Linked DNA regions of Saccharomyces cerevisiae S288C. The protein of the gene in region 1 binds, or shares a complex with, the protein of each later gene. Each region holds a gene or a part of one and is shown on either strand. Other genes may lie near its edges.

Evidence for each region.
Region 2: VPS53 (region 1) and VPS54 share a complex: the UniProt entries of both Saccharomyces cerevisiae proteins name them as parts of the golgi-associated retrograde protein (GARP) complex.

What each region holds. Positions count from the first base shown.
Region 1 is NC_001142.9:387,885-393,503, forward strand, and holds VPS53 (Vps53p), read right to left. Parts: upstream 2,970-5,619; coding exon 501-2,969; downstream 1-500. Other genes in the region: spindle checkpoint protein MAD2, read left to right, coding at 1-363; YJL028W (uncharacterized protein), read left to right, coding at 3,427-3,762; YJL027C (uncharacterized protein), read right to left, coding at 3,949-4,365; ribonucleotide-diphosphate reductase subunit RNR2, read left to right, coding at 4,520-5,619. UniProt on the Saccharomyces cerevisiae protein: Involved in retrograde transport from early and late endosomes to late Golgi by linking the vesicle through the t-SNARE TGL1 to the Golgi, leading to the membrane fusion between late Golgi and endosomal vesicles.
Region 2 is NC_001136.10:493,672-499,042, forward strand, and holds VPS54 (Vps54p), read right to left. Parts: upstream 3,648-5,371; coding exon 978-3,647; downstream 1-977. Other genes in the region: NSI1 (Nsi1p), read right to left, coding at 1-597; protein phosphatase regulator REG1, read right to left, coding at 4,164-5,371. UniProt on the Saccharomyces cerevisiae protein: Involved in retrograde transport from early and late endosomes to late Golgi by linking the vesicle through the t-SNARE TGL1 to the Golgi, leading to the membrane fusion between late Golgi and endosomal vesicles.

The sequences.
Region 1 (5,619 bases):
CAATTAGTATTATGTATTGTAGACAAGGATGAGGGAGAGGTGGTGGAAAGATGGTCCTTCAATGTGCAACACATTTCTGGCAATAGCAACGGGCAGGATGATGTTGTAGATTTAAATACAACACAATCACAAATCAGAGCTTTAATCAGGCAAATCACCTCAAGCGTTACCTTTCTGCCCGAACTAACAAAAGAAGGTGGGTACACATTCACAGTACTTGCATATACAGACGCGGATGCTAAAGTTCCGTTAGAATGGGCCGACTCCAATAGTAAAGAGATACCTGATGGTGAAGTAGTTCAATTCAAAACATTCTCTACCAACGATCATAAAGTTGGTGCGCAGGTCAGCTATAAATATTAATAGAATTCAAGTCAAAAAAAAAAAAAAAGACGGAAGTCCAAAAAAATCTCGTTTTCGATGTTTAGAAAGAATATAGATTTATGAACTATATTATACTATACTACGTACTTCCTCTGTAAACCACTTCATGCGTTTTTTCAAGTGCCTCTGTTAAAGAACCTTGAGTGAGAAACGAAGTCTTTGACACTCAAACTTTGCTTTTTTTGTTCTTCTTTTTGTTGTTGTATTTGAGGGGTGGATACTATCCTCTTCATAACAGGTGGTGATATTTTCAGATCTTGCCTCACAAATTTTGACCAATTCGGATCTTGCATCCTTGCCAAGTTGTTTTCAAATTGACCCAAAAGTACCTTGTCCCACTTGAATATGAAAAGATCGCGATTACTGTCTGGCCTGCTGCCCTCGTCAGTGTCGTCTGTTTCTAAGTTGTAGGCACTCCATAGCTTTTTCCATAATGCCAGGTCCCATGGAATGCCCTTTAAAGCGAGGACAAAAGACCATACCGCTGAATCAGGGTTATTATTGGTCAATTTGGAGTAGGTCTCGTAATAGTCATCAGCGGAATCCAGAGGAGCCATTAGAAGTTTAATAAACTTCAGCAGCTGGTCTATATTATTGTCTGCATGTCTTTTCACCCTCTTATAAGAGGTATTTTCTCGCAAGTCAGAATCGTTACTTACACTTTCTGGTAAAGTGTGAAAAATCTCCTTCAGCAATTCTAAATCAAGGAGAAGCTGCTCGCCAATGTTGACAACAGTTCTGGTTTCAAATTTCCTTTTGCTGCCCGCCAGGGAAAAGGGTGGAACGGGCTGCAGAAGGCGGATGGTATTGCTTACAAAATTTGTAGTGATGATATCAATCACCTTATCCAAGAAATTCCACTTATAAACATCTCTATTGAATTGCGACAAAATAAATGCCAAAGTCGAAGGTTGCTCTTGCTGTTGTTTAATAGAGGCATCTGTTAATGCGGGCATTTTAAGTACGGATTTGAGGGTTACCATGTACCTGCTATAATCTTCTATCGCAGCATTTGACCAATCATTGTTGATAAACTCTCTCCATACAAAATTTAGATCTAAGGGTATGACACGGTTTAATAGAAAAGAAGTTCCTTTTGCTAGTAAATCGTCGTATATATTTTTCGTTTTCGTAAAACTGTTTGCCAGCTTTTCACGATTACCGCTGAATTCAGATAATTTATCCTCCAATTGATCTATAGTCGTGGCACAATAATCTGCAGTATTGATCAATAAAACGGTATACTTGGCAGCTTCTAGCTTATCCTGGACTTCAATATTGTCGGGCAGCAGTAAAGGAAGAAGAATTTTTTGTGAGTAAGTTTGAAGCCATCTACTGAAAAAATTTGCCAATGAAGTCAATATGCTATCATTGGCATTATTATCAATGAGCTCTAAGGTCTGAGTCAGTACGGAACGATATGTCCTGAAAAGGTCTGCACTCGAGGGTAACACGAGAGATTCTGTTTCATTAGATGGGTACTTCGGCTCACTCATATAAGAAAGAAATTTCTTTTCCATCATTTGGTTTTGGTGAGACACCCATAAAGTCAAATAAGGTTCGAAGCAGGAACTTAGTTTTGGTTCCTTAATTTTTTTTGAAAATCGTACGTCGATGTATTTTTCGAAATCTAGCGTCGATTGTAATGCTGTCATGAATAGATCAATGGAAGGGTTCTTGTCTTTGAATTCCCTTTTCAGAAGTGTCTGAAGGTCCTTGTGTGTAATGTGATAAAAAGTGGTGGTCAATCTGACTGCCATTTCCCAGTCTTTTAAGAAATAGTCTGCGAACTTTGAATTGAAGTTATTAAGAATTTTTTTGAAGTAAATGTATCTTCTCGATAAATTTTCTAGGGATCCGGCTTCATCGTCGACCCTAAATATCTCTTTCATTTCGAAGAGAAGTTTGTCCAAACACCAATCTATCATCTGGGCTCTCGTACTTGTATCGCAGTCGAGTAGCTCGCAGGCACCTTCGCGCAATTCCATAGTGAGTGCTGTATCATGCTCTGAGATATTGCCGCCGGAAAAGAGCGCATTGTAGTTTTGTTTAATTTTGGACAAAGTGTCTCCTTTCAGTCTTGAAATGGAGCTCAACAAATAGTTTATCTCGTCCAATGATTTGTAAGAGATGAATGTGTTTTCAGCAAGCGAACACATTATCTTATAAGGGGACACCATTTTTTTGAATGAGCCCTGTGAGAGTAATTCATTGCATTGTATGTAACTGTCTGTCAATATCTTTAAATTTTGGAAAAGAGTCAAAGAGTGGGTGAGGTTTTTCTTGGCAATGTCCAGGTACGAGATACCTTCTGTCAGATTCGATATCGTCAACTCGGTGGAGGCTGAGACATCTTGAGTTTCTTTGAAATCTTGGAAAACTTTCCTCAGAGAAGCCTCTATTTCAGCGGAATTTTTAGGGTGTTCCTTCAATTCATTCTCTTCTTTGAGAATATCCTCTTGCAATTGCTTTTTGTAGCTTCTGGTAATACTGATCAGTTCATCTATGTTGTTCAGGGATTCTTTTGAAAAAAGTATATTGGTAATATCTTCCAGCGGGTCATAATCTACCGTACCTTCCAGCATTGTCCTTCTGAGAAAACAAAAATGGAAGATGTTGTGAAAATGCAGTAAGTGACAATAAGCTAGCGACTTTTCAATGATCGCAGATTAAGTATATATACACTTTAGGTCTCCTTCTCTTCTTTACTAGCTACGAAAAAACAAAGAAAAAAAAAACAAAATAGAGGGAAAAAAGATATACGTATAAAAATATGCTCCAGGGGAGGTTCGAACTCTCGACCTTCAGATTATGAGACTGACGCTCTTCCTACTGAGCTACTGAAGCACTATTTCTTGTTCCAACCGAGGAATAATACTAGACCTGTAGAAAAGTACCGCTTATCTAATATCCAACTTTTTCTTCTGTTCCCTTTAGTGAATTCAAGATGAAGGAACATAACAGAACGGAAAACAAAAAAAAAGGGAAGAAAAAAGATATCACCACCAATTGGCACGCTCGCAACGGTTTCGGGCCAGATTCATGGCCCTGTGGGGTAGAAGTGCCTACAGACAAAAAACCGTTACGTCCCGCCTCACCAAGCATCGACACACAAGCCCTCTCAACCTCCTTAATTTCTTTATCTTTTTTTCCCTTCACCTCTGTGCTCTTTTTTTAGCCACAGCTGTGCATTACGCTTGCTTTGCTTGTTTTGTTCTCTTTCGCCATGCCATATTACTACTTTTCTACTTACTGGCACGAGGCCGCGCAAGCCAGATCCAAGCACGCCAGAAAGTGCGGTGTACTGGTGCAACCTTTTATCGATTTCTCATCATATCGCTATCGCAACGGGCATGGGCGACGAAAAAGCCAATCTAAAGCGTTGTCTTCCTCGTTCCTCGCGCACGCGATTTTGCGTTCTGCATAGGAAGCCGAAGTCGAACAAGAAGCAGGCAAAGTTTAGAGCACTGCCCCTCCGCACTCAAAAAAGAAAAAACTAGGAGGAAAATAAAATTCTCAACCACACAAACACATAAACACATACAAATACAAATACAAGCTTATTTACTTGACATCGCGCGATCTTCCACTATTCAGCGCCGTCCGCCCTCTCTCGTGTTTTTTGTTTACGCGACAACTATGCGAAATCCGGAGCAACGGGCAACCGTTTGGGGAAAGACCACACCCACGCGCGATCGCCATGGCAACGAGGTCGCACACGCCCCACACCCAGACCTCCCTGCGAGCGGGCATGGGTACAATGTCCCCGTTGCCACAGAGACCACTTCGTAGCACAGCGCAGAGCGTAGCGTGTTGTTGCTGCTGACAAAAGAAAATTTTTCTTAGCAAAGCAAAGGAGGGGAAGCACGGGCAGATAGCACCGTACCATACCCTTGGAAACTCGAAATGAACGAAGCAGGAAATGAGAGAATGAGAGTTTTGTAGGTATATATAGCGGTAGTGTTTGCGCGTTACCATCATCTTCTGGATCTATCTATTGTTCTTTTCCTCATCACTTTCCCCTTTTTCGCTCTTCTTCTTGTCTTTTATTTCTTTCTTTTTTTTAATTGTTCCCTCGATTGGCTATCTACCAAAGAATCCAAACTTAATACACGTATTTATTTGTCCAATTACCATGCCTAAAGAGACCCCTTCCAAAGCTGCTGCCGATGCATTGTCCGACTTGGAAATCAAAGATTCCAAGTCCAACCTTAACAAGGAATTGGAGACATTGAGAGAGGAAAACAGAGTAAAGTCAGACATGCTTAAGGAGAAATTGAGCAAGGACGCTGAAAATCACAAGGCTTACTTGAAATCTCATCAAGTTCACCGTCACAAACTTAAGGAAATGGAAAAGGAGGAACCTTTGTTGAATGAAGACAAGGAGAGAACTGTTCTTTTCCCTATCAAGTACCATGAAATCTGGCAAGCCTACAAGCGTGCCGAAGCTTCTTTCTGGACCGCTGAAGAAATTGATTTGTCTAAGGATATCCATGACTGGAACAACAGAATGAACGAAAACGAGAGATTTTTCATTTCCAGAGTTCTTGCCTTTTTCGCCGCTTCTGACGGTATTGTTAATGAAAACTTGGTTGAAAACTTCTCCACCGAAGTCCAAATTCCAGAGGCAAAGAGTTTCTACGGTTTCCAAATCATGATTGAAAATATTCACTCTGAAACTTACTCCTTGTTGATCGATACTTACATCAAGGACCCTAAAGAAAGTGAATTCTTGTTCAATGCCATTCACACCATCCCAGAAATCGGTGAGAAGGCCGAATGGGCTTTAAGATGGATTCAAGACGCTGACGCCTTGTTTGGTGAAAGACTAGTTGCCTTTGCCTCCATTGAAGGTGTCTTTTTCTCCGGTTCCTTTGCCTCCATTTTCTGGTTGAAAAAGAGAGGTATGATGCCCGGTTTAACCTTTTCCAACGAATTGATCTGTAGAGACGAAGGTTTGCACACCGACTTTGCATGCTTGTTGTTCGCCCATTTGAAGAACAAACCAGACCCAGCCATTGTTGAAAAAATTGTCACCGAGGCTGTGGAAATTGAACAAAGATACTTCTTGGACGCCTTACCAGTTGCTTTGCTAGGTATGAACGCTGACTTAATGAACCAATACGTTGAGTTCGTCGCCGACAGACTGTTGGTTGCTTTCGGTAACAAGAAATACTACAAGGTCGAAAACCCCTTCGATTTCATGGAAAACATCTCCTTGGCCGGTAAGACCAA
Region 2 (5,371 bases), on another chromosome or scaffold:
ATTAAAGTTGTTTTCTTTATCATCCTCATTAACTTCTAACGATTTACTTGGATGTTTAGCTAGGTATGCCTTTTCAGTATCAACATACTTATCAAAAGCTGTTTCAGCAATGAGATCATCAGGTAAAAATGCTGTTGTCGTTATGCCATCGTCCAGTGTAGTCAGCTGCGGATCTAGGACCATTTTTATTTTGGCTTTTCTTTCTTTAGAGCTTTTTCTTTTACGGTGCTTCTTCCTCTCTGATCTACTATTAGAAGATTTTTTATGACAGCTCCTCTTATCTTTTTCTCTCATTGAGCTGTTGTATGCGGCAGCAACAGCTGCTACAGCAACAGAATTTGGTTCGATATCATCCACTTTACGTAAATCTTTTGAACCCGATGTTTTCAAATACCAATCCATATCAGTGTCTTCATCTTCATGAGACATTTTTGAACCATGCTTTCTCTTCTTCTGTTTCTTCAATTTCTTCTTTGTCTTTTTAATATGATTCTTCAAGTCGACTCCCACATACCTTAGCACTGCTTCTTCTACAGATTCTTTTGGGTCATTATTGTTCTGAAAATTTGTGCTCTTAAGGTTTGACACGCTGTCCATTCTACCTTTATCTTTCTTCTTGACGCAGACAAGAAACGGCTGCTTGCTCTATGCACAAAATTTGTTCAGCGCCAACTGTGTCGTGAACGATGCTATGTTGGAAATTACAGGAGATGAGTTGTAAAGCAACTGACGAGATACTTGAAGTACATTTTCATAGCTGCTGGAAAAAGTCCTTTCCTATCGCATTTGGAAAGCTCTGACCTCGCTCGATCTTCATTGTTTGATCATTTCTTCACCGCTCATGTTTGGAAAAATAATACGTAGATAATGTTCTAAAAAAAAAGCGGAATTTCTTAGAGAATATAACATCGATGATTCATTAGTTTAAAAAGTAAATAATGGTACATAGCTTGAAATCTAATTTTTCTTTATCATGTTTATACAGGCGGAGGTGGGGCATTGGCCATGTATATTTTATTCGATGAGGCCTGGAATTGCCCCAACAGGGTTGTATAATGACTCGCATCGAATGGCTCAAAATCCCTGTTAGAGTTGGAAAGCCTTTGATAAAATCTCTGAACAATAATCACAAATTCTGCGAGACAGTCCAATGACTCTCCCATGATAGATAAGTTTCTACCCGTTTTTAAAAGTGAGTTTCCAGGTTGTGTGACAGATGCCATGGCGCTACTGTTGTAGTATTGTAGTGCGTCATAGCACAACTTCTCGAAATTTGATAAGTATATCGAGGGAAGGTTTATGGAAAGAACCATTAGCTCCTTAATAACCTCAATGGTAGCGAGCAGAGAACTACTGGCCACAAAAGTTTTATCGCCAACAACAACCGATTTCCTATGACCTTGATATGTTTCATTTCCTTCATCTTTTTCCTTGTCCTCGCTTCTGCCATTTTCGCAATCATGAGAACCCCCTACCATGTCTAAAATAGTTGTCCAACTCAATGGGTCTATGTCTATACTTGACACAATGTCGTTAACATCGCTCTGAATAGAGGAGTCCACAATATATGGAATCCATTCTTCAGCATCAATCTTTTTCTTTATGTTGCGGTAATTTTTTGAACTTTGTGCGTTTGCATAATGCTTGATCTGAGATGCTAAAACATTACTTAAATATTTCGTTAAAAATTCACCACTTAATACTTCACATTCTTGAATAAAAATAACGCATATAGCATAAAATTTCAAGAAATAATCATACCGTAGAGATAAGTTCAATTCTCTTCTTACGGCAATGATCTTGCCTGTACGTAACTGAATAATTCTGATTATTTCGTTGATGCCAGTACGTATATCCAATTGCGTAATCATGTTGTGCTGGTTTTCGTTTGGACTTTTAACAGATGCTAGCTCGTTAAGAGAGATATCTAGAAGCAACTTTTGATGCCCATAAAGTCTTCGAAGAGCTTCGAGCGCGTGCGTGAATATGTTTACTAGCATGGACTGAAATTCTGCAGGAGTTTGCTCCTTTATTAATCTTGAAAGTTTAGACCCACTAGTAGAGCCATTGTTAAGATGTTTTTCATCGTGGTTATTGTCAGCGTGTGCATTCTCTGTTGGCAAATAAATTTTTATGATAGATTTAAGCTCAGTGATAGATTTTTCCCTGTATAGGTCAAAGGCACTCGTTAATTCTTCGCATCTATTCAATCTGACTATTAATTCGGTTATCTTTGAAGAAAAATTATCAGTAAATATAGTTTGCTTTTTATCATTAGATCCCGTTTGTATCCTATGTAGTGTTTCCTTTGGTTTGATTGATTTGCAAAAGGATCTTAAATCATCTATTAGTAAAATCGATAATTGTAGGCTGAACTTTCCTCCTATTTCAATCTTCATATTGGTTAAAAACTCTCTCGTTGCTGACAAAGCAGGTATCGTCCTCAAATTGCTTAATTTATAGGGCCAACACCTAGTCCAACTCTGAACATCTTCGTTTATTGAATCATCCCCCTTAATCAGATAATCGATGGATTTTATCAGCTCTAAGCAGTTATCCAACTTGTTCTCCTCATACATTGACTTACACTCATCTGTTTTGTTCAGCACTAACTTCGCCTGTAATAATCCCTGTTCTAGTTTCTCTACATTCTTCCTCTTAAAAATCATTTCTAAATGTGAAATTTTTTTTCTTATATTCTCTGCGTCAATGGTCTTGATATTCTGTGCTAGCTCCTTAAGCTCGCTCATTGTGTCCAAGGCTCTTTTCTGAATATTGTCAACTTCACTTAGCGCATGAAAAAATTTGTGTGAGGATTTGGATATCTCTGTAACCAGTAATGTTTCTACGATATCCAAAAAATCGTTTAGCCTGTCCCTCAACTCAGAAAAAGCCTCATCCCTTTCCGCTTGTCTCTTCATGTCTAGTTTCGTTAAAAATAAATCGATAGCGTCCAACACTTTATGAAAAGTTCGAGGGTTATCTAATTGAAATTTGTCTGAAAAGTAAAAGTCAGGTATACTATTTATTAGCTCGGCATCCCCTTGCCTCAGATTTGCTTCAAACGACTCCTCATGCATATTTTCCCCTTCTCGCAGTTCTTTTAACTGTTCCATCTGATTCATGTTTCTTATATTATTTGTGCTTTGAAATATTTGGTAATCACTTTTAATGTTTTTGACGTATTCGATAACATGAGTTTTCCAATGGTCATCCAGATCATTTTTGCTTAGGCTAACTTGTGGAATATCAGCAACAGTGGGGTAATTGAGCCAGTTTTTCCTCCTTGTGTTCATCACAATTTCATAGATGGAGTTATTTCCCAATGGCGAAAAGTCCATGGACCCACTATGTGTTTCATTTTCAAAACCGAATGATCTACTATTTGCAACAGATAGTGTCCTAGAATCAAAACTTCTTCGCGGCGTTATTGAATCCAGACTTAATCTCGAAGATCTTCTCGCTCTTGGTGTGACACTGCCAGATATACTTAACAAGTCGTCATTAAGGGAAGTATCACCCTCTATAGTAAAAGAGCCACTATCACTATTACGAGAAGGCGATCCCTCAGGAACAACAATTTTAGGACGACCAGCCGCTTTTTGCAGTCCCTGGCTTTTATTATGAGGTGTTTCGCTTATTGACATTGGCCAGATACCTCACCAAACCTTTAAATTGTTTTAATACTGCTTTAGGATATCAATACTGCCAATTACTGTAAGCTCTGCCTAAAACAAAGTTGTGCCTAAAACAAGCCGTGTCGTAGTTTGTTTTGTTTACTTTCTAGACTGTTGTGTGGTGTCTTCTTTATAAAGGAAAAACCCTTTAAAGATCGAAGAAAACATTGATTGTACTCTATCTGAAAATCATTACCCACGAACATATCTTAGATCAGCTGCGTTTAATTGCTAATATATAGAACACACATACGACTATGGAAGCTCAAGAAGTTCTTGTACATAAGTACCAAATATTGTAAAGGTATAAAGAAGTTTTGAAATCTGGAGCGAATTTAATTGTGTACGTAAAATAACTGCTTCGCTGTCTACATTTGTCCTTGACAATGCCAGTCGATTACAGCTTACTTGGATCCTAAAGACGGCACTGATCCACACTACCTGGATTTTTATTTTCTCTTCATGTTGACTTCAAAATTCTTTCTTCTAACTGCTGTCATTTCCATTTTCTTGTGGCTTGACGTCACTCTTTTTCCAAGAGTGCAAGTACTTGCTTGCCATACCTCTTGCATTCTGCACCACTTTGTGTAAGCTTTCATTACTCGAATCCGTCAAAGACGCTTCTTTTCTAGTGGTTTGCACGCTATCAACTTTCTTGTCCTTTAGCTTACTAGCATTATTTATATGGCAGTTTTCAAATCCTTTTGCCAAAGTGTCCATTTCTGAGTGATCTTGATGGTCCATCATATTTCCCCCGGAAACAACAGACTTGATAGATTCATTTCTAGGAGAGAAATAACCCTCTATGGCAACATCACTCGCCCCCACTTCGGCTGGTGAAGGAGTATTATTTACAATTCTAAAGCTTTGTGAACTATCGGACGCTTTTGGCTGCTTTGGAAGGGCTTTTTTCTTCTGAGATGATATGTTTGCTGGTGTCACACTGCCTTTCAATACGCTTCGATTAACCAGCTGACTGTTAGCGGGTAATGGTCTTTGTTCCTCCTCGCTGCTACTCTCTTCTTCACTATCTGAATTGAATATGAAGTTCCCTGAAGAGGAATTGCGCTTCAACGGATACGGCCTGACAGCCAGTTGTGCATCTTTGTCTACATCAGTTTTACCCCCTGTAAAATTAGTAGGATTTTTTTGTTGAGGAGTTGCCGAAGAGAGTGATGGTTGTGCTAGATCGTACAAAGAATTGGTAGATCCTGATTTCCCAAGTGACAATGTTCTCCTCAGTGAAAGTCCTTCATCGTGGTTATCGTCTACTTCTTGGTCATCGTCATCTTCTTCCTCTTCGTCGTCGCTACTATTGTATTGTGAGTCTTCAATAAATTGCTGTTCGCTATCTGATGAAGAGCTGTAATTGTCGTCGTCATATAATAACATATGCGATCCATGTTGACGTGTTGTATTATTTGCTGAAGCTTTGTGTAGTTGTGGAACATGTTTTTCCTTGGATTCTACCGCATTGTTAAATTCATAGTTTGATGCATTATCATCTGCAATGGCTGTTTGTAAGTCCATTCCTTCAGGAACATCTACAATGTCACATGAATCTACTGGTAAAAAACTGGAAGTATCACCAGTGTAGACCGAGTTATAATCGTATATGTAATCATAGCCTCTGGAGGTATTGACGTTATGTGACACAGCATTACCATACCCATTAAATTCGCCATTATCAGATT